Linked DNA regions of Coturnix japonica. The protein of the gene in region 2 interacts with the protein of the main gene of each other region in a biochemical or structural test. Links are inferred from orthologs where the notes say so. Each region holds a gene or a part of one and is shown on either strand. Other genes may lie near its edges. The genes, in order: RPA1 and RFWD3.

Region 1 (16,184 bases), on a different chromosome or scaffold from region 2:
CTCAAAATACTCAGTGTTTTCCAATTCTGAATTAACTACAAAGCAAGGCGTCCATACTTGGATATTTAGGATTAGAAAGCTTAACAGCTATGGATTATTGGAAAACTGTAAATCAACCCCTGTCGCAATCATTTCCAGGCTTCCATTATGTTAAATAAAGCCCCTAGAGCAAGATTATTCTGTGTTTCCATTGCAGGGAACTCCGATTGCTAGGTTTTCTTCAGATAAAGCACATTTGTTTCTCCATTGTGTCTGTTCAAATCTCTGCTTTTTTCACAAGATTAAGATTCTGCACTTTCCTATGCTTCTTTTAGGAGTCAGTACAAAAACCAGAAAGCCTACTGTGTAGTATTACAGATAAGTGTTTGATTAAACTATAGCCCACAGAACAAAATACCCACTCACCACACTAAAATCATCACCCTAATGGTTTAAGACCACAGTCAAGTCTTTCAGCAGATGAACAGGGGTTAAGAACCACATGCAAGAAAGGCACTGGTAATTCAGCTGTTTCCTGTGGAAGTTCTTTATCTAGATCAAAGTTTTTCTCTATCCTGAATGGCTTAGTGCTAACATTTTGGAAAAAAACCACAATTATATGCTTTTAAAAACGTATTGGAACAAGTCAAGAAGCATTTCAAGCCTAAGAAGGCTACCAGGCTAGAAAACTGCAGACCTGGGTCTAGATTTTCTATTGAGCAAGGCTGCCTTGAAAACCCTTCCTAGAAACGCACCTGTTTGCCCTACAACACTTTGTGTTATTTATATTAGCATCTTTGGGGTGGTCTATTTGGCACTATTTATCCAAGACTTAGAAATCTCTCGTACACATAGGATCATGTTGCAACATCAGCAAAGGACTTGGATTCAGTGCATTGGTTTGTTTGGTTTTTCTTGTTTACAGAATAAGCACACAGCCCAACAACTGGACTCTCCCAATAAGCAGAACACCAAGGTTTCCTTCCCGCCCCCCTCAAACACACAAGGCTTGCAGTCAGCTGCCATGCCTTACCTTATCTCCTTGTCCCAACCTCTCTGATTTGGCTTCAAACAAGGTTTTCCAGTTGGTAGCTACCCCTGACGCTGACCCACCTCTCACATCAGAGATGGAGGCACATTCCAGAAGCTGTCCCTCAGAGTCAAACCTGGAACCACAAAGATGCATTGCTATTTTTGGATGGCAGTCCACCTTATCATAAGCTTACGTTTAGTTTCATGTACTTAATACACGAAGGATTTTTTTTTTCTTTCCTTAAAAATCAATGATTGCAAAGGAAACAATTACAGTAATTTGTGTATACTGCAAACAAAAATAGCATTTCAGAATAAGTTAATACTCTGACTTAATTAGCATAGTATTTTATAAACCCACAAAAGGAGGGCAGCTTTGTTCTATATAACTGCAATTTGTTTGCCAGCTAGTGGTCAAACCACGCACTGCATGCTTCTTAAAGGCAGTCAGATAACAAGATTTAAGGGCATCAAGATATTTCCATAATTAAAATTAAATTACACGCTACCATTATCATTGCAGCAGCTTCAAAAGGAAAAGCAAATAGCATTGAACAAATTATGCCTCCTGTGTTAAAATAAGAAAGCACTCCTTTTCTGAAAAAGGTTGTACTATCATCCCATTCAGCGTCTTTTGTGATGTGAGAAACACCAACAGAACTCAAAAACGGAATGTAATTAAAATGTGACAGCACTAGCTAAGACCCACAATCAATTTCATCTTCAACAACCCTCTGAAGTATAGAAGCAGCTCTGCTCAATCTGAATAATGGAGAACGCCGACAAATATTTTATGCACGTTTAAAGGATTTGGGCAGAATGTGAGCCCAGGATTCACAATAAGTGATGCAGTAGGGACTTTACCCCATTAGCACACACACCAAATCTCACTGTCTTAGTAGCTACAGCAGATAATTTAGCAACTACCTACGCTAGAAGCAGCAGTGAAGCACTAAGAAGTCACTTGGTTTTCCTGATAAAAATAAAAGTGTCATTTTGTTAATTGAAAATATCTGTTAAGGGATAGGCACTAAGAAGTCAACATAGTTCCCGCAATTCATATTAACAGAGGAAGCAACAAAACTCCGTCCTCTCTGTTAATCAGAAAATAGAGTTGGTCAAAAAACAGATTTCTTGTAGTCTTCCAAGACTTTGGGTCAGCATGAGCTATACTCCTATCTTATTTCTTCCAGCATCTGTCATGGAATTAGAGGTTTTCAGATTGAACTTCTCTTCCAAGAAAGAGAAGTTTCTATAAGCCTGGAACCCATAGCCTATGCTCCTTTTCTTCACTGCTCTATAGACTGCTCAAATGTAAGTATATAGAATAAAACAAATACTCCACAGCAGGAGAAATGAGTCAACACAAGCACACAGTCATACCATCCCCGGAGCTTGAAAGCCTCTGGGCTATCAGGGTTGACAACCACTGTACTTGATGACAGAACAGACAGGCTTCTACCACCAAAATCAGAGACTCGGGCTCCTTTGATGGCTATCACGGGTTGTCTGGAACCATCAAACTTCTCAGCCTGCATGTGTGGAAAACAAAACAAAAAACAAAAACCAAACAACAGAAAGCATTAGTAAGTATGCTACAGTATACTTGCAGTCATAGTTCACAGATCATGGCAACAGACCAAACCCAAGTCAGGCCATCTTACCGCACTTGGGAGGTACGGTTTTAGACAGCAGCACTGGGAGTTCAGGAAATGCAGCTAACAGCTTTATAATCCCAACACTCCATTTCTTGAGGAAGGGGAGAATCCCTCTATCAGTGCAGCAGCTGCGCACCACCAGCTTGGAGAAAAGGGTGTAATCATCTCCATCAGGAGTTTTAAACAAGGATTTTAGAATGGGAGATGGGCTACGGGAATGAAGGTTTCTCCAAACATGGGTTATTTGATCAAATTAGTCTCGATGGGACATCACTTGACTTGACTGAGACAATCGTGTCTCCTCACCTACAGCTTAAGCATAGGTATGCTGACCAAACACTTTCCTCAGCTTTCCGTTTTCTGTTTTTAATCTCATAAAGCTGATTTAATGCTGTTCAGTTGCTATCAGTTTGTTATCCAACTGAAGTCTGACACTAACAAATAATCTCTCAGCACTAGAGAGGTTATGAAAGGTATAGATTTCCTGGACACCACACCACTTAACAAGCAAGGAAAGGATCATGTGCTTATGGACCACAAATGAGCTGGAGTTAGCAAAAGCACTTGCTGTATCCATGAGATACAAAAAGAACACACACCTTGACAGATAAGGCAATGAGTTATTGGGGAGATATGGACTCTAATGCTAGGTGTGCCAGCCACAAGCCATAAGTCACTTCCCCTCAATACTTATGTTACTTTTACTCTACAACAAAGCAAACATTTAACTTTCTAAATTACAGACCCCTGATCCAAGAGTTACACAAGATGTTCATAACTAGTAAGCTCTCCAATAACAAACTCGTTCAACCTCATAACTTCATGATACCGAACCTCAGTTTACTTCATTTATATCAGCAGATGGTTAACAATGTTCAGCCACCTACATCAGGGCACTCAATCATTTAGCCATGAGGCACCACTGCCAGGCTGGCAGGATGACTCCCATTTTATAGACCAGAACATAAATCTCTAAGTATCTACACCTTGGAAAACAAAGCAGTTTGTTATCAAGACAAAGGAGCAGTTCACAGTAACTACACAAACTTTCCATTCCCAAAGCTCTGACATTTTAAACTCTTAGTCTGAGATACAGCCTTTCAAACCCCCTAGTTTAGCAGCAGTTTATTCAGATAACAAGTATCCTACCGTAAGAATAAAGCTCCTCACAAACAAGACATCTGTAGCCATCGGGCTTTTCCATGATCAAACCACAACTCATACCCTTTTCTAAACCAAATACCTGTTATCTACAGTCTTTGTGCCTGAGACATCATGTCTGCAGTTATTCAGAACACATTAGTCAGATCATGTCAGCAGTCTGTCAGAAAAAGGTTATGAACATCACACCTGAATGAAACCAGACAGTCTTTCACCTTCTCTCTACCCCTGATCCTCCAACACCTAGGACTGTCTCAGTACTATGCCCATCTTAGATGACAAGAGCGTGTGTTTCTTCACCCTACACAAAGAAACCTTTGCTTAAGAACAGGTAAGAGAGCACATACCTCATTTCCCCATAGCGTAGCTGTCACCAGTTTCCCTGATGTATCCATCAGATGCACATTCCTCTTCGATACCTCCCTATTGCTGGCTTTCACTACAATTTTAGTGACATCTTCATAGCTCTTACAAATTCCAATTACATCTGCAAAAGAGTTACAATTTAGTTAGAACTGCTCAAGGGTCACAGTTGGGGAATACAACACCACAAGAGAAGAAATCATTCCTAGTGTCAGATTTTTACCTTGTAATATCCCAGCTCCCTATTCAAATCAAATCTGATATGGAAATTAAGTGTATTATGGCAGGAATGCTCCACTACAGAATTCTTCAGTGTTTTAATTTTGTTGACGAATTCATTAAGATATTCATGAATGCAAGCCTCACCACAAGAAAGAGATCAAGGCATCACAATCTCTTATTCCATCACACTCTGCCAAAGGACTTCAGCCCCGATTCTTGCTGTGCTTAAACATACCCTTGCTGGTTAAGCAGAAGGCTCTCAGGCACAGGGCTCCAAAATGACTAACACGAAGAAGCACCTGGCTAGTGCCCTTGCCGCAGCCCCCCAGACCAGAAGCTGCAACTTCTTCAAGTTTTGAAGGTTGAACTAAATGACCTCCAGAGGTCCCTCCCAATCCAAACCACGTTGTATTTCCTGTGAAGCTGGCATGTTTTGGCAGCAAGAGCAAATGCAATGCCCTTTGTGCTCCCTAATAAAAACCTATTTTGAACATCATGGGTCTACCTTTAAAATTCCTAGCTGAATGCCTCTGAATCACACGCATCTTGTGCCTGTGAAACCTGAGCTCCCTCGCCCCCACCCAAGCCTGATTTTTTCCGGAGGACTCTGCCCAACAAATTACAGAAAAACAAACCTCCAATACTTCACAAAGCAAGCCAAAACAGTCATGCAACTTGGACTCGGATGCAACGCAGTATGCCAAAAATCACTACCGAGATAATTAGATAGTGAAAGCAAGCAAGACCATGGAAGGTATGAAACACACACGTGCTGAGCAAGGACACTTTGCTTTCAACACTTTTCCATGGAAAACAATGATCATAAGACAATAAACAAGTAACGTTTACTGTCTTTAGCTTGAAGCACAATTCTGCAGAGAAATCAGTATAAACTGTTCGCAGAACAGGATAAAGACACCTTAACCATAAAAATGCCTTAGGCAATTTTAACAGCAACCACCACAGGCTAAGTCAGCCCAGAAGATTGCCTTCTATTGCTCACTGCCTCCCCACTATTCACAATACTAAAAGTTTCGAAGTCTTATAGCATCTCATTTCACTACTCATACTGACCGACAATGGAGTCTTTCGGTGTGTTCTCCAAGTCAGAGATGGATACAAAATCAAACTGAACAGATGGAAGATGCTGGGCATCATCACAGGGCACAACCGAAGTTTCATTAGTGAATGTAATCTCATAATCATTCTTAACAGCTGAATATTGCTTGTTAGCAGTCTTCAAATTGCCTTTGGTAAAATAATATACCTAGAGGAGAAAGCAATGAAACAGTGGATATTATCAGAAGTCAGACAGAGAAAATAGATTGTGATCACCTTTAAAAATCCTTGCCATGCTAAAGTGCCTCTTTTCTAGCTCATGTCAGACCATGATAGCACGACACCACCATACCTTGTTGAGTTCAATCAGAGGAAAGAACTTGTCTGCTTGATCATTGAATGCAGTAGCTCTAATCTCGCCCTGCAGGAAAACAGGAGAGGCGGTCAGAACTGAAATTCAGCATAAGTAAATAAATTATATTAAGAAATCCTTAACTGTGTTAAGTAGCATCAGTTCTACAGACAGCGTGGGCTGCCAGGCTAGCTCCAGAAACCTGAGAAACAGACAACGCTCTCCTTACATTTACAGTTATAGCTAGAATGACATATTCCACACCTGACCATCAATTCTCAGATTCAAGTCTCATTAGCATCCCTAGAGGTCCAGAATTACTATCACACAGCCAGCACTGAACAAGTACTGTTGAAACTAGCATTAATTGACGTTACAGGATAGAAAAGTTTGAATAGATCACCTAGCTCCACAAGTTAGCACAGAGTATCTCGAGCTAAGTCCTGCTCATAAACAATGCCAAATCTTTAAGTGATAATTAATAAAAACTATAAATCCCCTAATTTTTTTTGTTGTTTTTACATTTGACTACTAAAAGTACGCGGAGAAAACAAATGGCTGATGACAACACGTTACATTATTAACCTCACATTTTATACTAAATATAATCTTGCAGAATCTTGTTTGTTTTCAGGACGGAAGGCTGTAATTTGATAAGAGGTTTGACAAACTGCAAGTTTAGTTGGATTAACCAGATACCATTCCCCAAACAAAGCGCAGATGAAATCTCCGAGTATTACAATAATTTATAGCCTGATTTCCTCGTGAAAATGAAAGCTTATAACTTGGAGGCGACGCTCCTTTCACTCCTTGTTTTGTACCGTGTATCTAAGTAAGGATGAGAGCTCATTCCCAATCAAAAGGAAATGATGACAAACAAAGTATAAGGTTGTCTGTTTCCCTAAACAACCATATTTTGAAGCTGCAAAAATTGAGTCACACGCTATAGACTTTGATGAAAAATAATCAGCAACGCCATACATTTAAGACTTCATTCTGGATAAGGACTGGATCACTGATGTTCGAGTTAATGAATACAGAATATGAACCTCAGTCATAATAATAAAAAAAACACATTTTCTATAACACACTTTATTTCTCCTATTCTGCCTTTATGAAGGGTTCATCAGCGTCTGGTATATGTTATCTTTTTCTCAACACAGAACACTTACACTCTCATCAACCAGCTCTATAGAGAAGAGCTTCCCTTCACCGCGGGAGTTGCTCCACGTGCGGATCTGCCCTTTTTGGGTAACACGAGCACAAATGGTCCACCTGAAATTGTGCAAGAAATAAGAGCTGTTCAATGTCCTCTTTTATTTATATATGTTTGGTGGGTTTTTTTTCCTATTTTATTTTTAGAAGAGATTGAATTTACCTTTGGAACTGAAATGACACTATTTAAAAAGCCACAACTTTTCCACTGCACCTCAGCAATTCTACCTGCCTTTCTGCTGCTATTTTAATGTCCTCGACCATTAAAGGCAGCAAGTTATATAGAAAGCAACAACAAAGCCAAACATAAAACATCCAATAGGACACAGCAGCCAACAATCTTTCTGCAGAGCAGCACGCCTCAGATCTTTCACTCTTTTAGGGTAGATTTCTCATACAACAGCTTGCCTGTTCTGAAGATCCATGCTAGAACTCAAGAGCCCAATTATATGATTTGCATTTAAACTTAGGTAATCAAATCAGTTTGCATAACTTAAAAAAACTGTCATTCACAACGTAATTACATCCTCAAGCTTTTCAACAAAACAGTAGCCAAAGTGAACAGCTTACCTGAGATGTTTTGTCATTACCTTACCAAAAAAGAAGATCACTTCAGGGAAAAAAGGTGAGTCAAACAGCTTCTCAACTAAAATATTAAAAAGCTATCAAGCTCAGCAGGGTAACTTCACCAAAAATCTCAGACTTTCAGAGTGTTGATGAAACAAAAAGACCAAAACTTGAGCAGCTGTTTCTGTAGGTTTTATGGTTTTGTTGCCCTGTTCCTCTGTACCTCTCCTCTACATTAACAGATAAAGACCAAACGTAATAAAGAATGATTTAAGAGATTCATACATTCCTGTATACATGATAAAGCCAGAAATACCTGGCAAACCATTACAACTCACTTAGATTGGTATGGATTCAAGCTGGCAATGGGCACTACTTTGGACTGTGTTCCCCCTGGTGTCTTCACTGAGCTGGGAGCGCTTGCTTTATTAAACTGGTTTGAGGGAGCGTGGTACTTCGGAGCAGCAGAACCTTCCAAAAAGAGAAAATAAAACAAACACAACAAAGCACACAGCATTTCAGCCAAGCAGACAAAATGCAGGTTAAGATCAACTCATTCAGTGTGCTACAATAGAAAAGTTTGTTGAATCACTCCTACTCTTGGTCACATCAATTTATTAGGCTGCAAGCAAGACTCACTCAGACCTTAAAAGCACATACGGTGGTGGTGGAGATGTGGTCAGAGTCAGTCTAGGTGGCAAACAACAACTTGGCAGCAAATTGTCTTAAACATGGCACATTTTGGATCTACACTTGGACAAACAATAAGGAATGGCACCCCACAACCAAAACTCCTCCTGATGCAAGGCAATACTACTCATTCTAAACAGAACCTTGTTAATGTATAAATGTAGAACCTTTTTCCTTCCTGTCCTTAAAGCTGATGATAAAATAGCAAGTGTCAAATTTTTGCTATTTCAAAATACCAAAATAATTCTTAAACGCCACGGAGAGAGCAGCACCAAGGGTTGGACTTCGATAACCTTATAGCTTTAAAAATAAGCCTACATGTTGCTTGCCTTTTTCAGCATCTTGCTATTTAAAATCTTGATCAAAACACAGCCTGCACCACATAAGCTGTTTGGCCTCAATAGCTCAGCACTGACAACACAACTTTTGGCCTGCTACAAATTGTAGCTGACTCGTGTGCCCACAGAGCACCTTTTCAAGAGTGCAGAATTGCATCAGAGTAGATGTTCAGTTCATGCTGCTTTGTCAGAGCTGTTTCCTATTTGTTTTACTTGGATAAGGGGGAGGAAAATGAGGCAGAATTTATTTTTAAGATTCAAATGACAGTAGCCTCTCTTGAGACAACTCATCTCTTCAAGCTACAGGTTTGTCTGATGTAGTTTCTTCTGCAACACTATTATGGAAAGGGGGTTTTTGTTTGTTTTTTAATGTTTTGTTGAGCACAAACAGAAAGCTGAAATCTCACCCAGGATTATTCATACCTGCTACTGACAAACTGCCATTCTGTTGCTGTGGTTTGTTGGGTGCTGTGTTGGCTGCTGGAGCTGAAGAACGTTGCTGTCCCTGCCCTGGTAATCAAATTGAAAGAGACCATTTAGGACAGTAGGGAGCAGAGTAATTAAAAACTACCCTTCAGCCTTTTTCAGGAAATTAGGTTTGCATGAAAACAGGATTTTAAACATGCTAAAAGTCAGGTGTTACAGGGCACAGCAGCAGTAAGCTATCTGTTAAACAATATTAACACAGAGGACTTTCAGTCAGATCCTTTCCCCAAGCAACTGCTTTCTACTTAAGAAGAATTCAGCGCTGACAGTTATTTAAAAGGACAGCACTGAAGTAACCCTGACAACTTCTCAGTTTTTACAGGCTTCTATTGCTCTGACAGGTAGTTTCTGCTACTATCTTACAGCAAGCCCTTAAAAAAAAAAAAAACACACACACACAAAAATCCCACAGAGTGATCTCCTTGAAATTCAGAAAGGACCAAAAAACCTCTGGGTAAAGTCAAACCTGCAGTTATAGAAAACACTTGCTACGTTTTATTTCCAAAATATGAAGAAATGATGGGGTGGTGGTGTGGAGGTTCTTGGGATACAACAGCATACTGCATACAGAGCATGCCACAGTGAGTACGTCTTGTGTATTTTTTAGGCTACAGGGCTTTGACTTGGATTCTATCTGTTGATAAATCACAAGTACAGTGTGACATACGTAGAAAAACATTACACTACAAAATAATCCAGAGGTTGAAAACTGAGTTAATTTAGAAACAACTATTTTTCCAACATATTTTGCTTCCAGATCATTAAATACCCAACAACTTTGTCTATTAGGACACAGCTAACACTTCAGCCACCAATTTGAAGGACATCCTAAGCCAGGGCAGGCAAAGTCCCCCTATTCTGGCAGTGTGGAAAGTGGAAAAGTAGGGAAATTGAACCCATAAATATCACAAGGAACAAAGCAGAGAATCCCAGAACAGAATGGCAAGAAAGAATGAGCACAGAAGAACACTACTGCTCTGAAGAAGCACAGCCTGATGCTGCTTACTCCACACAGGTAGCCTTCTGGTTACTTTTAATCCAGACCAAGGTATTGGCACAAAACCACCCTGCTCCTGTCATTGCAGCAGTGACAGGAGTCTGCCTAGCAACAGCATGACGTCAAACAGAAACGTGCACTTACTGCAGAATCCACTAGATGGAGAAACCAGAGTTCCCCCTCCTTCAGCTGCCTCACTTACTCAGAGGACTGAATCAGTGCTCAGCCCCACATTCATTGCGAGAGAAAGAGGACAACACTTAAGAGTAAATATGTCTGGAAAGGGAAAGAAGTTGCAAGAACAGCAATGTGCACGTGAAGGAAACCCAACACTTAAAATACCTCACCACGTTCCTGCTGTATGTATTGGCTTCATAGAACCCAAGACTTTTGGCTACACAGCCCTGTCTAATGAAGTAGCTGTAGGCCCAACAGTGTTATGGAGGGGCCTTGCTATGTCTCTGTCCCAGGGCTGAGCTGCATCACAAATGGAGGAAGAAGGGGGAGATGCACTTTGAAAGAACACACACCAAAAAGCAATGGTGTAAAGAGCAGGAAGAAAAGCAAATGTATAAGTATACAAGCATTTCTACACTGAAAGATTAATGACAGAAATTAAACATAAGTAGCAAGTAATTGTTACAGTAAGAATGAAGTCCAACATCAGAGCAATTTCAATGAGATTAATGACAGTAATAACATTACCGTGTAGCTTTGTACAAAGAACTAAACTGCTCAATCTTAATTTTCAATACTATAATGAAAAGCTGCCTGAGAAGTTTTTATGGTATGTATCAAGAAGATTGCATCTCCAGCTTCCTTGTTAGGCAGATTAACCACCTACTGCTCAACAGCAAAGTGGCCAAAAGCAATCTCCTCACTGCCTGGGTCCTTCTGGGGTAGGAAAGACTTGAGATCAGTATTTAAAGTAAGACTTCTGTAACTGAAACATTATCTAATGTTAAAACCAAATGAAGCCTAACACCGCCACTGTATGAATTCTGTATGATTGTGTTGGTGTTAAAGTGAAATATATCCTGCAGCCAATTTGGCACCTCTTAACCATCTATATTTGAGGCCTTCATTGTTGAGTACTCTTGTATGTCAAAGTGAAGAACAGAACTTGCCCCAAAATAACTTCAATTTTACCAGAATTTATACTCTTTAAGGAAGCATTTTTGGCTCAGTTCTATAAGACAGAAGATACTCTGTTGTTTCTAAGCAACAATATGACAAGAACACCATAGTTCACAAGAAACGTGCTCCTGTATTGCACAGGCAAGTGATACAAGAGAAAGACAATACAGTCTGCTCAATAGGTGCTCCAAAAATCCTGGTCTCTACAGCAACTGTGAGATTAAGCCATAAAATCTCAGATGTCAACACATTTTTTAAACAGCAATTAGCTAAGTAACTACCAGAGGAACAAAGGATTCTTTAGGCTCATTTAACAAATGCATCTCTAATTCCCCAGGAAAAAAGGAAAGTTGATGAAGAAAGATGTCTTGGCAACAAAGTCTAATTTCTACTTCAGTTAGGAAAGTAGATCTTAAACCAGAATTGCAGTTATGTACCACCATTTGTCCAAAATATCTTACAGAAATTGCTGTCACTACCATGTGGTTCCTTAACAGTAAAAGCAAATTGATTCATTTCCACCAGGAGAAAGACAAGCATAAAAAAATAATCCCTGAAAAAAATAAAAGCTATTTGCTGTTGAATTTCAGCCATTATCTGTACGTGTGCACACAGTGGAGAAGCTCAAATATTTTCTTTAAGCATTTTATTATCCTCTCTCTTGTCAGGAAAAATAAAAAAACTCCAAGAAGGGAACGTAGATCTGAACATCTCAGGGGAAAAAAAAATACATTATCTTGGAAAAAAAAAAATCAAAAAACATTTGCCTGAGAACTCATTTAGCGCATGAAATAGAAGAATGCAGTTATTCACACAACATCAAACTAATAATTCACAACAGGTCAGCCCAAGGGCCATCCAGCACATCAACATTTTTCAGATGGCAGGAACAGGTGCTCAGGACAGCCTGCATGCTGGCCATGTTTCCATAACCATAAGTCACCTATCTACTTTGGGCAATTTCAGTTTCAGTGCTTCCATTCATGCTGAGGATGCATTGTTACATTTAATGGCCTTTAATGGGTTATTATTATTTTTTTGGCACGTAATTGCTGTTTGAACCTGCGCCAGTTTTTGGCACCTACCTCACGTAGCAACATGTTCTATAATTCAGCTATGTGCTGTCTGAGAGGTGCAGTACAGCCTTTGTTTTAGAGCTGTTAGTTGATCATATGAGAACTAAAAGAGTATCAGATGGATTTAGAAAAGAAAGATTCATCATTCTTTACTCATCCCCTCTGTGCCATCTCACAGTTTTATAGATCATTATTACATCTTCCTCCCTACATTTTCTTTCCAGATAGAAGAAATCCTACCTTCCTTGGTTACTCACTCTAAAGAGATACAGAACAGCTTTCACGCACTCGCTGGATCTCTACATAAAGACCACTAACACATAATACAAACCTGTCAATGCTAACACAAAGCACAGACACTTCTCAATACCCCTCAGTGATGGAAGCTTCAGCCAAGATGCTGAGCTTATGAAAATATGAACAAACCCTACTTTGTGTCACACAGACAGTAAGGATTTTCAAGATGAGGACATTTCTGTTCCAAGCATAAGGGAGTTGCACATGCTTGACTGCTTCTTTTTAAATGAGAAGAAAGAAACAGATAGCTGAAAGAGTGTGATAACAGGCAGCCTGCACACAAGAGGTTTCTGTTTATAGAGGATACTCACCTTCGTTGTACGGCACTGGATTGCCAACAGTCCCACCAACCATATCAGCAGTTTTCAGAACATCTAAATCCATCAGTATAACCACTCTCCTACAAACACAATATAGACAGTAATAAAGACACGCTCCCTCTATAAGTCTATCAGGCTCCGAGAATCCTTCTCGTGCAGATATGAGAACCAGCCACTAGGGGCTGATTCTTTGTACAAGGGAACGTGGAAAACAAAAGCTCTGCACTATCAACTTAACCTTCTCATGTTGTACAAGTAGACTTGAAAAAGTATCACATTTCACCAAGGACACTGACAGCAGGCTGAACAGGCACACAGAAATGCCTTGAAACAATAGCGTTTTAAAAGCATTAAAACCATGCCAAATTTCTTAAGAGAATCCACTCTGCCTCAAAAAGAAGTTGTATTTCCTACACAAAAACAAGGAAACAGATGCAGAAGTTCAGATCGTGTTCTCCCACACAAACATCATTTCTCTCAGATCACTTCTTGCTTTACGTCCCTCACTTCTCTCAAAGTCCCACAAAAGATCAAAGATTTCACACAACACAACCTTCCCTGCTTCTTTTCCACAGCAGGTACTTTTAAGTGAATAGAAATGAAGCAGAACAATTTAGAGTATTCCACCTGGAGGCCTTCAATTACTGAGTGACTTTCTGCAATTGCTTACACTGTGTGCTTTCCTTCCTTCACTTATTACTTCCAGAAATGCCTAATCAAAAAGATTTGGCCTTCACTTAGTCCCACAGGACAGAGCATCCACTAGCACAGCTGCCTTTGTGTAGAACCATACTCAAAGAAGTGCATGTACCTTCCATCTTTCAAGCTGTTGACAATGAATCTGTTAACCTGGCAAATACTGTGTGCTGATAAGCGTTCCTCTTCCACAAGGGGGTTCAGCTGTGTCGCCAGCATGAATGCTACAGGGACAGAAGAACATTCAAGACATTAACACATGTTCGTATTAAAGCGGCTGCCACATCTGGCCTCCTTCCCAGTTCACAAGCACTACATTAGATCTACAACTGGCTCAGTTAAATTAGCACATAGAAAACAGTGTAACAGCTAATAAGTTGCAACCCTGAACATAAATTATGTTGTATTTATTCCCCAAACTTCTAATGACCGTTCTAATCAGTGTTCATATATATTGAAGGTGTGGGAGCTATCTGGATGGGGCCAGGCTCTGTAGTGGTGTGCGGCAACAGGACAAGGGACAACAGGCAAAAACTGGACAGGAACACAGGAAGTTCCATAAAAACCATGCAAAAGAACTGTGAGGGTGCCAGAGTAATGGGACAGGATACCCAGGGAGCTGGTGCAGTAGCCTCATCTGGAGATACTCAAGACCCACTTGGACATTTTCCTGTTCAAGCTATTGTCATGAAACTGCTTTAGGAGGTGGGTTGAACTCGATGATCTTCAACCTCTGTGATTCATAGAATGGTTTGGATTGGATGGGACCTTTAAGGCCATCCAGTTCCAACGCCCATGCTACAGTCAGGGTCACCAACCACTAGACCAGGTTGCTCACAGCCCCATCCAGCCTGGCCTGGAACACCTCTAGGGAAGGGGCATCCACAGCCTCTCTGGGCAACCAGTGTCTCATTATCTTCAGAGTAGAGAATTTCTTTCTAATATCTAGTCTAAACGATATGCTTTTATGACCGTATACTACCGTCAGAAGACTGAACTAAATTACTTTAAAAATCGGCATTACAAAACCACACATAGAATGGCCTGATCGTTACAACGCAGCTGCACACTTGAGGCAGAGCCTGTGCTCCCCATACACAGCCCACTCTCCTTATGTATTGATTTGATTGCTATGGACCCTGAGCAATATACTGAACCATTGGCAACACCACACTTACAAACACCTGATACTCACAGGACAGAGTGTTCACCCCATCGCTCATCAGCACCCGATACCGTGGAGGCCCATTTCCTGTGGCAATAGCCCTTGTGTTCTGTGGGAAAACACCAGCTTGTCACTTCAGGTTCCAACCTTAAGTTCTTCAAAACCACTCAACGATGCTTTTAACAACCCCAATACTCACAATGACTTGCAGCACGGGCTTGATGATGTTCTCTCCCTGCATTATAGCCTGGAAAAGAGAGGAATAGACTGAAGACGGTCCCACGATGTGCACTGACACCGAGGGGAAAAGGCCCATCGGGCAGCACTGGGCCTCTTCTCGCTCCCTTCCCACCCCCACAACGAGCCCAGACGTGACGCAGTCCTCACGATCCCCTTCAACCTTCACTCCTAACCCCACCCCAGCTCCCCACAGCCCCTATTCCCTCACCGCGATGGCTCCTTCGCTCAGCCTCACGCTCATGGTTCAGCTCTGTTCTCTGCTCCCTCCTCCCCGCGCTCCTCCGCTCCTGCCGCCAAATCCTCCCGCCGCCCCGAGCCTCGCTCCTCCTTCCGGCGCGTCTATAACGTCACACCGCGCGCGCACCCAAACTCACGCTCCTATTGGCTGCCCTCAAGCTGTACGGCGGAAGTGCAGTAAGGTTGCACCACTGGGCGCCGCCATGATAACGCTAAGGGGGAGCGGCCTATAGCACGCTCCTATTGCCTGCCCCAAGCTGTACGGCGGAAGTGCCGTAAGGTTACTCCACTGGGTGCCGCCATGATAACGCTGAGGGGGAGCTGCCCATGGCGCTGCCGGTGGCGGAGTGGCGGCGGAGCGTTGCCCGGTGCTGGGCCGCACTGGAACCAACGCTGAGGGAACGGCTGGAGGCGGCTCCGCTGGATGAAGTCCTACGGTTAGGCTGCGGCCTATTTAGGTGAGTGGGATGGGAGAGGTGGGGTTGTGAGGTGGGGTTGGCTGTGGTGCTGATCGCCGTGTCCCGTAGGCCCGAGGAGGCGGCCTTACAGCGGTTGTGTGGCCGGGCTCTGGTGGGCAAGGAACCGGCGGCCGCTCGCTTCTACAGGGAGGAAGGAAACAGACGGTTCGGCCGCTGCTGCTACCGCGATGCCGCCCGGCTGTATTCACAGGTAAGGGAGAGAGCTGCTATGGGCCTGAAATGAGGAGATCCTACAGCTGAGCTGTCAGCCCGACCTGAGGGATCCGCTCTGTTCCATGCAGGCCGCGGCCTTCGAACCTCCCCACAGCCCTGAGGTGGCCCTGTGCTTCGCCAACCGCTCTGCAGCCCTGTTCCACCTCGGGTACTTTGAGGTAAGTCAGGGGGGTGGTTTTAAGTCCTGCAGCCACAGTGTGCTGCT
Region 2 (16,184 bases):
CTCTTGCACAGAATTAATGCTCAAGCTGGGAAATGCTGCCTCCCCCAGCAAGGCTCACCTGGTGAGTTTGAGAGTGTTGTCCAGAGCAGCAGACAGCAGCAAACCATCTGCACGACTGCCAAAAGCCAGCCCCCGGATCTGTTTGCTGTGGATGGGGATGTACTGACTGCTCTTCAGGTTGGCCACGCTCATCATCTTCACACCACACCCTAACGAGAAGGATAAGGCAGGTTATTGCAAAGCAGCCTGTGTGTGAGGCAGGATGCCTACCAGCAACTGCTGAGGAACCTGGAACTAGCAATTCTATGTCCCATCTACCATCTCCAAATTAAAAGCTGTGGTGGGGTGAACACATCCAATTTATTTGCTGTTCTCAGTGAGAACTGACACAAATCATTATTAAATTCAATCAGCAACAGTGTAAAATCTCAAAGTATTCAAGCCAGCAAGAGCAATCCCAGTGTTAGTTACAGTTCTCATTACACGAGCTGCTGCTTTTTAGACAGTTCCTCCTAAATATGCACACTAGGATTACTTGGCAATTTAAAAGAACAAGTGTCACAGCGTAAAATGCCTACAGGTGAACTGCACCTGCATGCCACAAAGCCTCCATTGAGAGATTCACTCCAAGGCTCCAGAGAATAAGGCAAATTGAATACAGTGAATGGAATTTCCTTATGTTGAGATAAGGCACATTATTTGGTTAATGGTTTGGAGATTAAAACAAGCTTCACCATTCAGAAAGCACAAAAGTGCTTTGCAAATAAAGGCTCTCAGACTCATAACACTCCATCTATCTCACCAGGACAGGAAGCTGGAACAAAGCCAGGTGTCAGTTCACTTGCCCCAGCCATAACAAGCAGACAGAAACAGCACTGCCCAGGCTTCTTGGCCTATTGTTCCCACACTGGGAGACAGTGCTCCTACCTTTCATACTAAAAGTCTGTTTTCTTTTTAAAAAGGAGTTAGTTGACAGCATGCGGCCCAATCCACCTATGACAGAAGGAACATTTCTTGCTCATGGAACAGGAGCGACTCTGCCTGTCCTTGTGTGCTGACCTCTTATTCTTTGGACCTTCCTGAGGATGTGGTACTTGAGACAGGGATCCCCTGTTAGGATCCCACTGCAGAAGCAGGGGGGGAGATAAGTCATCCCTCTGGGCAGAGGTCACCAAAGCAGGAGCACAGACCAGAGGTAGACTTGTGAGTGCTCCCCATTTATATGGCACATACAAAGGTAAAGCCAGATAGAGAGGGCACAGGGAGCAAGTAAAACATTTAACTTCTGTAAACCAGTATCGCCTACAAACCCCCAGATCTCAACTGCTCATTTACCAGGAATAAAAGTGGACTGTGGAGAAGGCTGCGATACCACGAGACAGCTCAGCGAGTCACAGTAGGCCATCACTCTGCAGTTCCCAGCCTGAGACACCACAAAAACCTTCTCCAAGTGGTACTTGCGCTGGCTCTGGCTGGAGGGGAGGCCACCTGGGAAGCAGGTGCGGGAGCTGCCGGGTTGTTTAGAAGCACTGCCATTGTGCTGAGCCATCAGAGCCTTCAGCTCCTGCAAAGGAAAGAGAGCTCAGAGAGTTTTAATGCTCTGCTGGAGATGCGGCACCCTGTGCTACCTGATCCATGTACTTCAGGTGTTCCCATTCTCAGAGAAGGAGAAAGAATACGGACTGCTCTGTCCCCATACTCTGAAACACTGCATTTCCCTGTTCACTGACTGCAAGAGCAACAGAAGCATTGAAAGGTTCTGCAGGCTCTGGTTGAATCTACTCAGTCTGTTATTATACGTATCAGAAGAGAGGGCTCTGGGACAACACAGAAAAGCCAATGACAATTATTACCAGATCAATGCTGTTTAGAGGAGAATTAACTGCCAAGTACTACATGCAGCTCAGCCACAAGAGACAGTCAATTAGAACCATTTTCCAGAATTTCCAGAATATCCCATAAAGGAAAAAAAAAAAAAAACCAACAAAAAACAACAACAACAACAAAGAAAACCCCAAAAAAACCTTCAGGTTCAACATTGACTGACTTGTTTCCTGCAACACCCTCTATTTAATGAAGACAGCCCTGTTCCTGTAAATCCCAGGCAGCGAATTCCAGGAATGACAACTCTCAAGAGCTCCTGCCTTGTTTTCTGCTTCATCCCCGCCTCCTTTCACCTCAACTGATGCTCAAGGATGCAAAGCCCTCACCAAGGACACCTTCCATCACAGCACCAGCCACAAACAAGATATTCCCCAACTCCTCTTCCCACAGAGAGCATCGGGGGGGGGACGGGGGGACTTGGGGAGGGGGGGATGTGAGGAGTGGCACTGCTACATTTGCATCACTTGTAAATGATCACAACACATTCTGGGAACAACTCACTGTGATCCAAGGGCAAAACCAGGCAAAGCAGCACTCCATTGATATTAGAGAGAGGATAGACATGTTAAGAAAGTTGCTTTCTGTTGTCTGAGCAACTTGGGTTATGCTTCAAATACTGCATCATTTTTAAGCAATTAAGGGCCACAAGAGATATTACGAATATATTAGTAAATTGCAAGCTAGCCTCGATACCGAGCCAGCCAATATCACCTAACTTATGTACGAGCATAGGCAAGAGTTCTCAAAGAGGCAAGACCAAATATCAAGCTCTACATTAACAGCTGTCACCAAGCCCTATAGCTTTTGGGGACTGCTCCAGAGGAGAGCAGCTCTGGTGTCTTCCAGAGGTCTGATTGGTTCTGCATCAAACCAATTCTGCATTCCAAATTCCCTGTGACATTAAAAAATGGAGCCTGAAGACTCAAGATGAGCAAAGACAAAGATCTGGAGAGGACGGGGGATGTAAGGGGTGCCAGGATGCTGACAATCAGAAACTATAGCTCCAGGCTTAGAGTAAGCAGTCAGTATGTACACAGGTAACATAGAAGAGAGCAGTTTTTCATCAAAAATTTAATAAGCCCTATTTCTGAAAGGCAGAAAGATGCCACCCCCACTGAGAAGGAGATTAAAAATATTTGTTGCTCTGGGGAATTTATAAAACTCTTCTTTCCACCTGCACTCAACGTTTCAATTTTATGCAAGATCTTCATTAAAAAGAAAGGCAGGCAATTAAAAACACAAAGACCATCAGAACGATGTCTGCATTTACAGCCAAAGGATGAACCCAGCAGAAGCAGGAACTGGGGACATTACCAAGGCAACTACAAACACTGCACCAAAGAACAAACCCCACTAACTGTGCCCAAGAAGGACACTTTCAGTAGGAAAAGCTGATGGCTGTGCAGTCTACCTGGCTCCTGCTATGACAAAGTAACAGTTAGAGAAAGAATCATAGAATGGTTTGGGTTGGAAGGGACCTTTAAGATCATCTCGTTCCAACCCCCCTGCTATAGGCAGGGACATCTTCCTCTGGACCAGGTTGCTCACAGCCCCATCCAGCCTGGCCTCCAGTGCTTCCAGGGAGGGGCATCCACAACCTCACTGAGCAACCTGTTCCAGAAGAGGATATCCAGCAAAAATCTTCTAGAGGAATATGCATGAAAAGCTGAAATAGGAGAGAACAACGAATAAGAAAGGAAAACCAGCTACAACAGATTCAAGCCAGTTTTCTTCCAAGTATTAGATTAAGGGTTGTAATAGCTGATACAAAGCTTTAAAGACAAAAGCAGTTATCAGATGACAGCCACTCTTTGGCTGTGCTCCCACAGACCTCTTAGAGAAGTCATGCCCACTATCTTGCTCTACGTGGCCTAAGATTTGCACTTAACAGAGATAAATGCATGACCCTATAACCGCAGTGCAGCACTAGAGGCATCAAACCTGAGCCAAGGAGCCTGGAAACACAGCATTTTTAATACACACTACCATAAGAAAGCTGAAGCAAGCTCATCTTTGTGTAAGAAAAGCATACAAACACGAAAAAGGGTCATAAGCAATATGACACAGTGTGTAGTTCTCATGCACACTAACAACAAAGAAGGGTACATACAAGGGCTACGGGGGGAACTGATGGCATATGCTTTTATGCTTTCTCTAAGACTTAAGTCTGCGTAATTAGTGGGCACAACTCTTCCAATGAAGTCATGTGCAACTGGACTTTTCCACTTTGAAAGTCCCTCTGAATGTCTGGGTATTTCACAGATTTGTAATCCCAAAGCAGTGCTTTCTGTGGTGGCTTCCACCTTTGTACATCAATTAAACACATTTTCTTGTACACTCAACCATACTACTCGCTGAAAGGACAAGGGCAGCAAATGTCAGAAGCAACAAGGTCAGTTCTCAGTGAGAACAGTTTATGAGTGCATTGTCCAGAGAGGTTTCGTAGTCTGCTTCCATCAGCTGATACACTGATGGCCCAAGAAACCCAATCCAACACTGAACTTACCCAGCTACGGTTGGGGCTGGAAGCCTCTGTGGGTCCCTTCCTATTTAAGTGAATCTAAGTAGTTGCTTTACTAGCTGACCTCCCATAGCATAAGGAATTAGTTATGCATATAACCCAACAGTTTAGCAGCTTATTCTATGCTTCCTGCTGATATATGGCTCCCCAGCAAATTGTTTTTTACTTCCAGTTCATTCACAGTACAAACAAGTACCTTCAAATTGCTTCTAGCATTCACATCAAGTGAGGCAGGACAGTGATGAATGCAGTATAAATACTGAAATGGAGCTTAAGGACACAGGGTACTTAATCTTTATAACGCGCGACTTCAACTCAGTTAGACTGGATACTCTATCATCTAACACCTAAAGAATTGCAGGAAGATGTATGTTATGGACCTGCACTTTTATCTTATTTCTGTTGTTCTTAAGACAAAGTTTATAGCAGACCAGACCAGTTCTCTCACACACCCCGACGAGCATACAGCCTCACAAAGGAATTTAGGAAGCAATCTATAAAGCCCTGTGTTACATCACTTGGAAAAACTTTGGCAAAAAAGGATGTTGCTTAATGTACAGACATAAATAGCCAAGGCTCTGAAAGACCCGGAAGTAGAGAAAAGCTTAAAGCTGAGCAAGATACTAGACAGTGAGAGATTAGGCAAGTTATGACCTACTTCATGCAACAAAAACACAGCAAACCGGCTGCAAAACCCAGTGCTGATGCAACACATCAGGTAACTCACAGCAGAAACTTCCAGCAAGGCAAACAGCTTCAGCTTCACAGAAATCCGGTGGAAGCAGCTGTAGCAGGTTACAAAATGCTACATGTTGCACAAGCCAGGAAGAAAGTTGCTGTTTAGCAACCAGTCGTTTCTTTTCAGTGTATTCTGAAGGGACAGGGGTGCTTCTCAGCAGCTGTAGAATCCCAGCTGACTCCAATGACAGGCTCACGGTGCAGGAAGTGCTTAGCTCAAATCTTCATTGACCTTTGAAATGCATTTAAGGTTTGGTTGCTTTGCTTTGTTTTTATGTTTGTGAATGGCCACAAGCATGCTTTCCTCACCAACTATTTACCAAAAACCTTCCATTATATCACAGATGTTCAATGCTTATTTTGGTGCAGTTAGAGAAAAACGAGGGGGGCAAATTCAGCACTGTGTTACCAGACCTTGCCAGCAGCCACCACAAGCTCTGAGGAGCAACCTGCAACACCAGCAGCCAAGAACACCTCCTGTTACACTGCACTTGTGACTTTAAGTCTTCAAAACAAAAATGAAGTCAGCACTAAGTAGTGTGCATAACTACACTAGCCTTGGATATTGAGAATGATTGACCAGTTGAGTTCCCTAAATCCTACTAGATCTGGAGGCCTTGTAAGGAAAGCAAGCAAGAGACAGGCTGGGGAAAAAGGGAGTCCTCTGTGCATCAGGAGAGTCAGACTCACCTGGACTTGCTTACGCAGTTTGCTGCATTCATCTGTCAGAACCTGCAGCTGCAGCCGGCTCTGTGCAGATTCCAGCTCCGCCTGCCTCCGCAACTTCTGCTCCTTTTCTAAAGAGCTGGATGAGAGAGAGAGACAGAAAAAAAAGCAAACATTAGGGCTGGGTATTTCTGGGATGCTCCTCTGCTGACTGCTGTCCCTGGACTTTGTTCCAACACAGGTCCCACTTGGGTAAATTCAGAAAGAACAGGGTACCTGGTGCTATAGTCAGCCAGTATGTTCACCTTAGTGGTACAGCATGACTCAATTATTGTTACACAGAAATAAGTGCCTTTTTCCTCTCCCTCTGGAGTCCAAACACAATCCTTTGGATAACGAGTGGCCCTAATAGGCCCGTATAAAAATTCAACTTACCACCTCATCTTGAGCCTAAAAGTGCATATAAACAATTTAGCAGCAGCTGTTTTGAAAACATGCTTAAATTTTGCTTTCATAAGTACTTTACATATGAAGGAATAGTTGAAAGCGGGAAAGAAACACCATCACTCCTTAAAAATATCTGCATGTTGGGTCTATGTTGACGCTGCATCCTGTGTTCCAAAAGCTGCAGTTCTCTGGTTATTTCAGCAGTTCCCAAGCAGGAGATCTAGCTGGCCTAAGCACCTTTAAAATACACAGACCTAGCCTTGCACATTTATCAAGCACAGAGTTCTGTCATTTCTGTGTAGTTTCACCGTGCTATTCCTTGGTTGCATAAGAAACAGATGAAGCTCTGCACTGAACCATTGCAGACAAGCATCCAGAATCAGCAGGGTAGCTCTTCTGAATGCAAGGGTCAAAAACATAAGCTCACACCCAACTCAAGGCTATGTGCAAACAATATGAATGTATCAGTGTCCACATTTGTACTTTGCTGGTGGCTACGTACCACAAGTATCCACTGCCAGTGAGTGAGTGAGACTGACAGGCAGTCATTGCTGTCTGCCTCCCAACCAACAGCAGCCAGGGGACAGATGGGATAGCAAGTGGGAAGAGCTGCTGTAGGAACCTGAGACACATGCAGCAGTTAGTCACCTCTACCTAAGGAACAACAAGATTTAAGCACTCAAAAGCCTTCTGAGGATGTGAAAACAAGTTTTACTGTGCTTTGTTTTGCTGTATCTGTGCAGTCTAAAGGCACAGTTCAAACAACATTAAGCAGCAGTGATTATCTTCCCCTTGTGATAGTTATTCCTCAAACATCTCTAATTAATAATTACTAGGATGGGGAGGTTTCTGTTAAAAAAGTGTTGAAGACCAGCTTTATGCTCAGCAACATGCCACAGCAGACCCAATTAAATTCTATTTACTACAAGATTCAGGGGAACTCAGAAGTCTGCAGCATTGCAATTTCAAAATAGTATCTGTGACAGCAAAAAAAAAATTCATGCCCATTTCCTACTATTCCTTTTCTCAGAGGACAAAAGTCTACACTGAAGTTGGAAGAGGGGGTAGAATCACAGCAATGCTTGCTGACCTTTGAAAGTAAAGCTACATGAAGAGTTTGACAAAGCAAGATGGAAAGTGATTCATAGGAGAGATTACTCTGCTTAATGCATGCAGAAAAGATGACAGAAAAGGTCAGTTACTCACCCTCCTTGCATTCCTAATTATGCCTTGCTTTTCTCATCTAATGATGAATTAGCAACATACAGCTTTTGGCAACAAGCCTACATGTTCTCCTGCCACAACATTTCATGATCCAGCACAAGATACCTTTTGCAACCCGAGTGCCACAAAGTGCAAACTCAGTGTTCCCGTTCCAAAAGAAACTTCTCCTTACAAGGAAGGCACAGATAACACAGCAAGATCTACAACAGCCACACTCACGATAACCCCCAAGGGAATGCACAAAATGGCTTAGGTAATACAGGAAATTAAAGAATAAAGTAAAAGCCAGGCTGCTGCTTTCCCTGACATGTCAGGAACACTCCGTACCTCTTCATGCGTTCCTGCTCACTGGTATCCAGTGCCTTCAGAGTCCGAGCATACAGGACCACGATGTCAGAACGTTTTGCTTTCTTATTGCACTGAAAGAAAAAGACACCATCAGTTTGTTACAAGAACACCACTAATTGGGCTATGCATCCCTACAAATTGCTAGGTTACTATTCTGAATATTCCTTAAGAGTTCTGAAGGGAAGCACTGTCTGTTTAATGTCACAGTGTGTTTGTAAGACACCCCATCCTACAGGCACTGCTGGGGGTCTGCAGTGGCAGATCAGACCTTGCATTACTGAAGGTGCAATAGATTCTATCTGCCTGTTTTCCTCTACATTTATTCTGCTGAAGCACCAGAACAGCAGCACGGTCAGAAAACCCACAGAAAGGAGGAGAAACGACCTAAAGCAGAATAACAGCCAAACCTTGGAAAGCATCAAGATTGGCTGCTTCAAGAGCAGAACCTGGGCACTCAAACTTCCTCCCAACATTGATTTACATTTCCTACTCCTTTGATCAAACCCTGCAGGCCCAAATCCACGCGAGCATTCCTGTAACAGTGTCAAACACTGGCATTCTGCTGATTTCAGTGATACAAGCAGAGTCAGATGCTTCAATCACTTTGTGCACCTTGCCATGACCAGTTCATACTTGAGAAAAAAGGAACAGCACCTCCCTGCGTTGGGACCTGTAAGAAATTACAGCATCTGAAATCCTCCTGTGCTGCAAACATACCTGGCTGATAGGAAAAGAGGCAGAGAGCACTGAAATAAGTAAACTCAACGGAGAGCTAAATTGTTATGTGTGCTTAAACTGCAGACTTCTCTATTATTTAGCAGCATGAAGAAACCAAGGGTGACAGTTTCAGACCAGACAACTCCCCCCACACCTCAGAAAACTGCTTTGCAGAGCAGCGAGTGGCAAAGGCAGCTTTTCTGGCAGCCAACAGCTGTCACCAACAGGATCTGGAATGCTGCAATTTCACAGTAACTGCACTCAAGCCACTTAGTATACAGAGCAGCACACACAGCAACTTGGTGCTATTCATTTAGAGAACACTCAGCCGCAAAGGACAGCGAATGAAAATGAAGGCAGATGATGTAGCTACAAGGTTGTCTCCAGAACAGGGACTTCTCACAGGAAATTTTCAGTAATGATATGAAAAACAAACAAAAAAAAACCACATTAAATCAGGAAGAAGTACCCTTAGCCCTGTTAAGGTTCATGAAGAAAGCAAAGTGCCAAAGAGCAAAAGAGGTCTCAGAGTTTTGCCTGGGCACAGAGCAGACAAAAAGCTTACACACACTTGTAATAGATGAGACACGTTAGGTCTGGGCCTTTACTGTGCTAACAGTGGGTCTTTAGGCTTAACCTGAGTGCACAGCAACAGGAAGCTTCTTGTGCTAGGAGGGAATCCTATACAGAGTCAAGCAAGACCATTAAAACTCACAAAATGAGAAAGCCAAAGAAATACTGATCTTCCAGATACTGCCTTGGAAAGCAGGACAGCTGAACTCCCATCTACGTGGTACTCACTGACATATTTTTTTGTCATCATAGACCTACTCAAAAGGAGACCAGTATGGAAACAAAAAACACATGGAAAGAACAGCAGAAAGAAGCACCTTTAGAAGCAGATCTACCAATTGCAACTGCAAGTAAAGGACGTGGCTTGTTTCTCAGCTCACTTTCTGAAACCTACCTGAACAGCCTGATCTTTAGGCTGCAAAAGCAAATGCAGTTCAAAAATGGCAGTTAAACCTACTGAAAATGGTTCTCAGACAGATTTCTAGTCCAATGGTGCATTCTTTACGCTTAATTGCTTCTAGGAATCTGTCTGCCATTCCCACACTCCAGGAACAGTGCGGTGCTCTGAAACCAATTACAGGTTGAGTTCAAACTAGCAGGCTTCTGAGCCAGCTAGTCACAAACACTCTACTTCAGGGAAGAAAATCCACGACAGAATCTTTCCCTTCAAGCACTGCTAGCTGTGCCTGCACCAGATGCATCAAAATAATTGTGATTTTTGTTATTTCTGACAGCAGGCATAGGTGGCATCTTTGTAGAGCAAATAAATGTAACAGTTATGGTGACCATGCCTGCAGCACAAGTCACCCAAGAGCAAGTCCTTCCCAGTGCACAGAAATGCCCACTTTACCTGGGGGCACTTCCCTGCCTGCCCCTTGAGCCACCTGTCAATGCAAGTGTAACCAAAGAGGTGCCCACACCGCAGGGCTGACAGACGGTGATCCCCAGCATTGGTCCATGGCTCAAAACAGATGGCACAGGTGTCCCCCTCCTCCTCCTCCAGTGCTGCAGCAGGAATTGGTGGCTCCTGTTTCTTCAGTGGAGTTCTCTAAGGTTTAAAAAACACCCTCTGTAAGCAAATGCATTTTTTACCACATGTAATCTGCCTCCAAAAGCATTTAGGTCACCTCACCTGCTTTTGCTGGGCTTCAAGTTCTTCATCTTCACGATTTCCATGTTCTGCGGGAGCTTGAGGCAGCATTTGAGGCAGCTCTGCTTGATCCTGACTGGAAACTAAAGAAAGCATTGTTTAAATAAACTGATACCTATGGGAGAAGAGGGGTTCTCCTTGATTTGATCCATAATGATCACAGTATTGATATAAGCAGTATAACAATGGCACAGGTTACACACTGAACCACAGATCAACATCCTTGGGTTGGGCAGTTGACATGTAAGCCCTTCTGTTCAACAACTGTAGTACTGAAGAACTTTCTCCTATCTTTTATAGAAATATCCAGAATTCCAGCACATTCTGTGACAAAGGAGAGCTTTAGAAGACAGATATTGTTATGAGGGCTTGCTAGGAATAAATACAGCTACATACAGATCAACAGTTAGGCTAAAGTAAGGTTACAGACCTGCACCATTGTGCTCAGAGAAAGACAGATATCAACATGGAGAAGCTACTTTGCCAAGGGATCTAAGTATAAATATTCCACGTGCCAAGGAGGCATTTACCATATGCTATCTGTCCAACTCACCCTGACTTAAGCAGTTTTCCAGCTCATGGTTATCTGAACTATTGGTTCTGCTGCACCATATGTCTTTGTGGTGTGCCTGTTAGCCCTTCTGTTGAAGCATGGGCACACAGCAGAGCTCAGTTTGGATTACCACCCCTAGCATACTAAAAAGAAGCAGAAAGCACTATCTCCCTCAGCCTCCTGACAAACAAAAGAGTTATTAGCCACAATTAGTACCCGAAGCAGATATTCTCAATGCAGTGAAGAAGTATCACCTAACACTGCCTTGTGCTAATAATAATTTCAGTCCCTAAAGCTCTGGGATGAGCAGGAATCAGCAGCTTACATAAGGAAGAAAAGACAAGGGGATTCCAGAAAACCCAACAGAGAGCATATGTTCACACAATATTAGGCAGCACTTAACAGCTTGAGCGCCTGTCACGTGTAAGACGAGCTAAAAGCAAGTGGAATTAATCTGATCAAAGTGGCCTCTTAGATGTACCCCAAAAAAACATCAAGATAGGCTGGCTAATGAAAAACAAAACAAAAACAGACTGAAGCATAAGGATGTTCTTTAGAGACTGGAGTCTCTAAGAAACTGAGAAATGAGAAATATGTTTCTTATATTCGTTAGTTATCAAAAACCTCTGAACACTGAATTCACTGTTTGTCACTCTTTATAAAATATGTATGTTCACCACAAGCCAAGTCACTGAAGTGCAGACAGCCTGTGAATCCAAGTTTGAATCGAGGAAGAAAAAGCTGAGGGAAAAATAAAAAGACCAAGCTGTTGTACCTCTGTCTCCTAAGTTAAGCGTCTCAGAAAGTTACAGGAATTAAAATTGCTGTTTTCTTTCTACTTTGGCTTAAAGTAAAATGTCCTGAATCTGACCCTCCTCTGAAAAGTGAAAGCATTGCTGGCCTCCAAACGGAGATGCGAGCTGATGTCTTCAATCCCTCCTCAGCAGCAGGTAACAGAGGAAATGTTCTAAGTAATAACCTCAGATTTTCAAGTTGTTTTGAACACTTCCAGGATTATTTATAAGCAGCAGCCTGCAAATAGCAAAAAGATTGGATTTAAGATGACAGTGACAATCACTCACTGCTGTTACTGTTCTTAGGAACCGCTTGCCAGAAAGCCTTGTGGTAGCAACCTGCTCCCATCAGCTGTGGGCATAATGATCTCTTAGCACCAGCTGTTGTGAAGCTCCAGAGTATTTCCCTGCTGAGTTTTGAAGCAGCACAATAAGTTTCTGAAATCTAATATCCACACAGCACAAACGAAGCACAAACCTGGGCTAGATGCTGCAGGTGTCTGCTGTGCTGCTGGAGGCAGCGGTGCTGCAGCCTCCACCTCTTCCTCCTCCTCAGAAGTGCTGCTGTCGGAGCCACTTGATTGCAGTTCTGTGATTTGTGATCTGTGTTCTTGGCTGCTCCTCACAGTATGCAAGGGCTCCAGATGTGAACCTGGTATTGTAGCTGGCTCCTGTGTCCTGCTGATCTGAAAGTAACTGTCCAACGCTGCCCTGCATCCAGAGAAGGAAGAAATAAAGGTCACAGTTATTTCAGGTAAACTGAAGGCTTGGTATGCTGCCCATGCTTGCTTGAAGAAAATCTCACAGGCCCTAGTGGTAAACAGGAAAGTATCAAATTTTACCAGAGCAGGTCTGTATTAATAAGAGGCAATACTATGCAATCGCCCGCTTTATGGACACAGTCAGCAATATCACACAGCAACATCTTCACGCAGCTTCATCTTGCCTGCTCAAGAAAATGCCATCACTACACATGACTTTATTTTGGCAAAGGGTATTGGTGGGGCTGGAGAGAAAATAAGCAAAGACTTAAGTACTACAGACTGGCAGCCCACGGAACTCCTACACTGTAATTACAATCACAACACAGACCTGGTTCCCATCCCACCAGAAAATATTAGATATCTAATTTAGATACATCAGGCTTGTATCAGAGCCTCAATCCACTGACTGCACAGTGTCTAGTTAGTCCACCTTCTCCCTTTCCTGTCCACAAGACATTTATCCCTGGAAAGCAACACCCTCCCTCTTCCCACATCAACCCAGCTATCATCTCAATTATCCTTCACATTCCAAGCAGTTTTTGCTAGGCTGCTTCTAGCCTGGAGAACTACAGTGACCTTCACAAGCAATCTACAGGCAAGCAGTACAGCAACGTGCAATCATCGAGGAGGAGAAGAGATCTCGGTCTCACTGAATTTCAAGCCAGCACTCCAGTTAATTATAACTTCACCCCTGGCATTTGCAAAAGATGAGACAGAAACCAAACAAACCAGAAATAGGATTCTTTTTCTAGTTGGGGAGCGTGCCCACTTATCACCTTTTAAACTCATCCCTAACAGCCCTAAACACAGAATTTTCACTTTGCTTGGAGATTACAAAAATCTACAGAGGAAAAAAGATGATAAATGTCAGTTTGCATTTCTTTACAAAAGTTTCTGCAGCAACTGTCACCTAATTAGGCAGTCCTCAAATCAAAGGTGAAACGCAGAAGAGAGTGCAAGCTCCACTGAGCTAAATGCTGGCTGGGACTGCTGAGAGCCAGATCTGCTGCAGGAAGCACCAACAGGAATCTGGCAGAGCAAGGTAACGTGCTCCAGTCAACAACAACGCTGCCAACAGAAGAACTGAGAAGGGCGGGTTCATTTAACAAAAAGCAAAGACATCATCAGATGAAATCAAAGAGTCATTAGTGAGCTTAAGAGGTTTTTGAGGTGCTCGGAATTTGACCACAGTCACACACCTGGACCAAGCCAGGTTCTACAAGCCAGGCATCGAGGCAGTCTTAAACCAGTATGAGAACTGGTAAGGGCACAGCTCAAACACAGCTTCACTTCTGCTTTACCTGGCACTGACTGTCCTCTGGGAACCACCGACTCTTGGCTGCCTGCGAGCCCTTCGTACTCGCAGACGCAGCACAACCTGAGGCCCAGGCAGCAGCTGGTGCTGGTCAGACGCCCCCTGCAGCCTCAGCAGTCCGATGAGAGCTGAGGGAGGATTCGCCTGCTGGTCAGGATCAGCAGCTGCTTCCCTTGCGGCATCAGCAGTCGATACGACAACAACTTCATCGTCAGAAAGAACGATAGGGCTGCCTCCTCCGCTGCTGAGCGCTGCAACCTGAGAGGACAGTGCCGTGTGAGCAGCGGGCTCTGCAGAAAGCGTCCCCTGGTTCTCTAGGGAGTAGTTCACCACTGGTTGGAGATCAACTTCCATCTCTTCCTGAGCCATTTCTGTCAAAAACAAAAGAAAGCTATGAGCATTCACAAGCCTGCGCCCCACTAGTGGCCTGATGGCAGCAGAAACTGGCTGCAGCACTCAAAAGCCTTCAACATTCAGACTAGAGACAAGTTGCCATTTTGCCTTTGACATACAGCACAGAGAGACTGTCTCAAGTAGATACATGTATGTGAGCTGGCACCTTCCTGAGTTCTTTGTCTGAAGCCTTTAGCTCAGCAGTAGCTGGCACCAAAGACACACTGCAAATCCTGTTAGGTAAACCTTTGGATGAGCATGGAAAGTTCAGTAATTCTTGTTCTATTACTTTCCAGTAAATGCCTTTGGATCTTGGAGGAAAGTTTGAAGATATCTTAGAAATTCTCCATGGCAAAACCACTGCAGAAACAGTGACAAATACAAATAGAAATGAGCTCTGTAGAGCATCCAATCCTTTGCAGGCAGGCAGTCTTGCAACACAGAAAAGCTTAGATTATTTCATGAACTAAACAAATCAAAGCAAACAATTTGGGGGAGGAGAGAGCAGATTAAGTTCTGCAATCTGCTGCTGATCATTTGCCTCCCACGTGTTTTGGCAATCACAAATCTGAAAGGCTTTGGCTTTGGGGACAGCAGACCTTCAACATTATTTGAGAGCCCAAAGTGCGCACCAAAACTTCTCAAGGTAGGCGCTGTGTGAACAAACAAGGGTGTTTTGCTACAAAGAATAACCAGAGAACGTACACAAGATCCACAAGAGGTGGTTATACTAACAACTTTTGATATATCTTTTAACAAACTCTTACTAATCACTTTATAACACTACTTTAATTACCATTAGAATCACTAAAGTTAGAACAGACTTCTCAGACATCCAAGTCCCACTGCACCCCCCCCATGCCCATGTCCCTTAGTGCCACAACCCCACCGCTCCAGGGATGGCGATTCCCCCCTTCTCTTGGCAGCTGTGCCACTGCCTCAGTGCTCCTTGGGAAAAGAGGATTTCCTCATAACCAATATTTCAGCTTAAACTAGGCCAGAAAGGACACCAAGCCCCATCTCCCATCTGACCAGTCACAGATAGAGTTAAGGCAGTCCTGCTGCACTGAACTCAGGTTTGTGTTAAGGCTGCCACATGCAAACCCTTATTTTCCTCACACTGGAAGCCCTAAAGCACGGATAGCAAACCCCAAGTATTTCTTCGGGAAGATGTTAACGTTGACATTTTCACCGTGACACTTTGGTGCCTTCCTGGAAGGGCAAAAGTCAGCGGCTCCCCCGAGAGCCGCGTGCACGGCACCGCCCGTCCGTGCGTGTGGGGGGCGGGCAGAAGGTCTCGAGGTCCGAGGGATCGGGGCAGCAGCAGCGCTGGAGCAGCAGCTTCCCCTGGCGGACGGACAGGACTCCGAGAGCAGCACAGCTCCGCACCTCCATCCGGCTGCTGCACCTGTATGGGGGGAGCAACAGAACCCAAAGAAACCATCGGTACGTGGCCAGACTCGGAGCAAGCGGAGCCGTGCTGGGGGGTTAAGGAGGTTCCTCCCACAGGGATCCAACATGGGCCGCTACCCACACAGCGCAGCGCTGTGCCCAGCCGGGCCTTCCATGGCAGCCCCAGGCCGAGCCCCGGGGGAGCCGCTCCGCGCTGCACCCGCCGCCCCCCGGCCTCCCCCCGCACCGTCCCGGCAGCTCCCGCAGGGCTCGGTACGGGCGGCAGCTCCGCCGCGGTCAACGGAACCACGAGAAGGGAAGAGAGAGACGAGGACCGGACCGGACCGGACCGGACCCACCTCACCGCGGCCCACAGCTGCCGCCCGCCAGCGCCGCTCGAGCAGCGCGCCGCCCCGCCCCCTCAGCCCTATTGGCCCGACGCTCCCACTGCTGACGCTTCTATTGGGTGAGCCGAAAGCTATGGGGATTTTCATTGGCCGAGCGCTCAGTCAGTCTGCCCCAGAGAACGGACTGGGGAGGAGGAGACTGAACGGACTTGAGAGTGAAGTGAGGCGTGCTCTGATTGGTCAGTCGAGATAGAGCTGCCCGTCTGATTGGACGGTGAGATCCTCGAGGGACGGAAAGGGCGGGGACCAAGAGACAGGAAGTGCGTTTTGATTGGGGGAGGCGCCGCCGGGACGAAGT

The links.
Region 1: the proteins of RFWD3 (region 2) and RPA1 form a complex in vitro, tested with the Homo sapiens proteins (3 studies listed by BioGRID, with this or other methods). The link is inferred for Coturnix japonica from reciprocal best matches to the Homo sapiens genes RFWD3 and RPA1.

The regions. Positions count from the first base shown.
Region 1 is NC_029534.1:4,214,401-4,230,584, reverse strand, and holds the start of RPA1 (replication protein A 70 kDa DNA-binding subunit), read right to left. Parts: upstream 15,395-16,184; 5' UTR 15,292-15,394; coding exon 15,259-15,291; intron 15,058-15,258; coding exon 15,010-15,057; intron 14,920-15,009; coding exon 14,841-14,919; intron 13,870-14,840; coding exon 13,761-13,869; intron 13,030-13,760; coding exon 12,941-13,029; intron 9,147-12,940; coding exon 9,060-9,146; intron 8,080-9,059; coding exon 7,947-8,079; intron 7,102-7,946; coding exon 6,999-7,101; intron 5,896-6,998; coding exon 5,827-5,895; intron 5,683-5,826; coding exon 5,490-5,682; intron 4,318-5,489; coding exon 4,178-4,317; intron 2,544-4,177; coding exon 2,395-2,543; intron 1,146-2,394; coding exon 1,013-1,145; intron 1-1,012. Other genes in the region: SMYD4 (SET and MYND domain-containing protein 4), read left to right, coding at 15,615-15,745, 15,815-15,956, 16,048-16,137. UniProt on the Homo sapiens protein: As part of the heterotrimeric replication protein A complex (RPA/RP-A), binds and stabilizes single-stranded DNA intermediates that form during DNA replication or upon DNA stress.
Region 2 is NC_029526.1:772,136-788,319, reverse strand, and holds the start of RFWD3 (E3 ubiquitin-protein ligase RFWD3), read right to left. Parts: upstream 15,894-16,184; 5' UTR 15,839-15,893; intron 15,496-15,838; 5' UTR 15,274-15,495; coding exon 15,237-15,273; intron 14,066-15,236; coding exon 13,681-14,065; intron 12,327-13,680; coding exon 12,094-12,326; intron 10,352-12,093; coding exon 10,251-10,351; intron 10,167-10,250; coding exon 9,969-10,166; intron 7,900-9,968; coding exon 7,808-7,899; intron 5,949-7,807; coding exon 5,834-5,948; intron 1,565-5,833; coding exon 1,336-1,564; intron 210-1,335; coding exon 59-209; intron 1-58. UniProt on the Homo sapiens protein: E3 ubiquitin-protein ligase required for the repair of DNA interstrand cross-links (ICL) in response to DNA damage. Plays a key role in RPA-mediated DNA damage signaling and repair.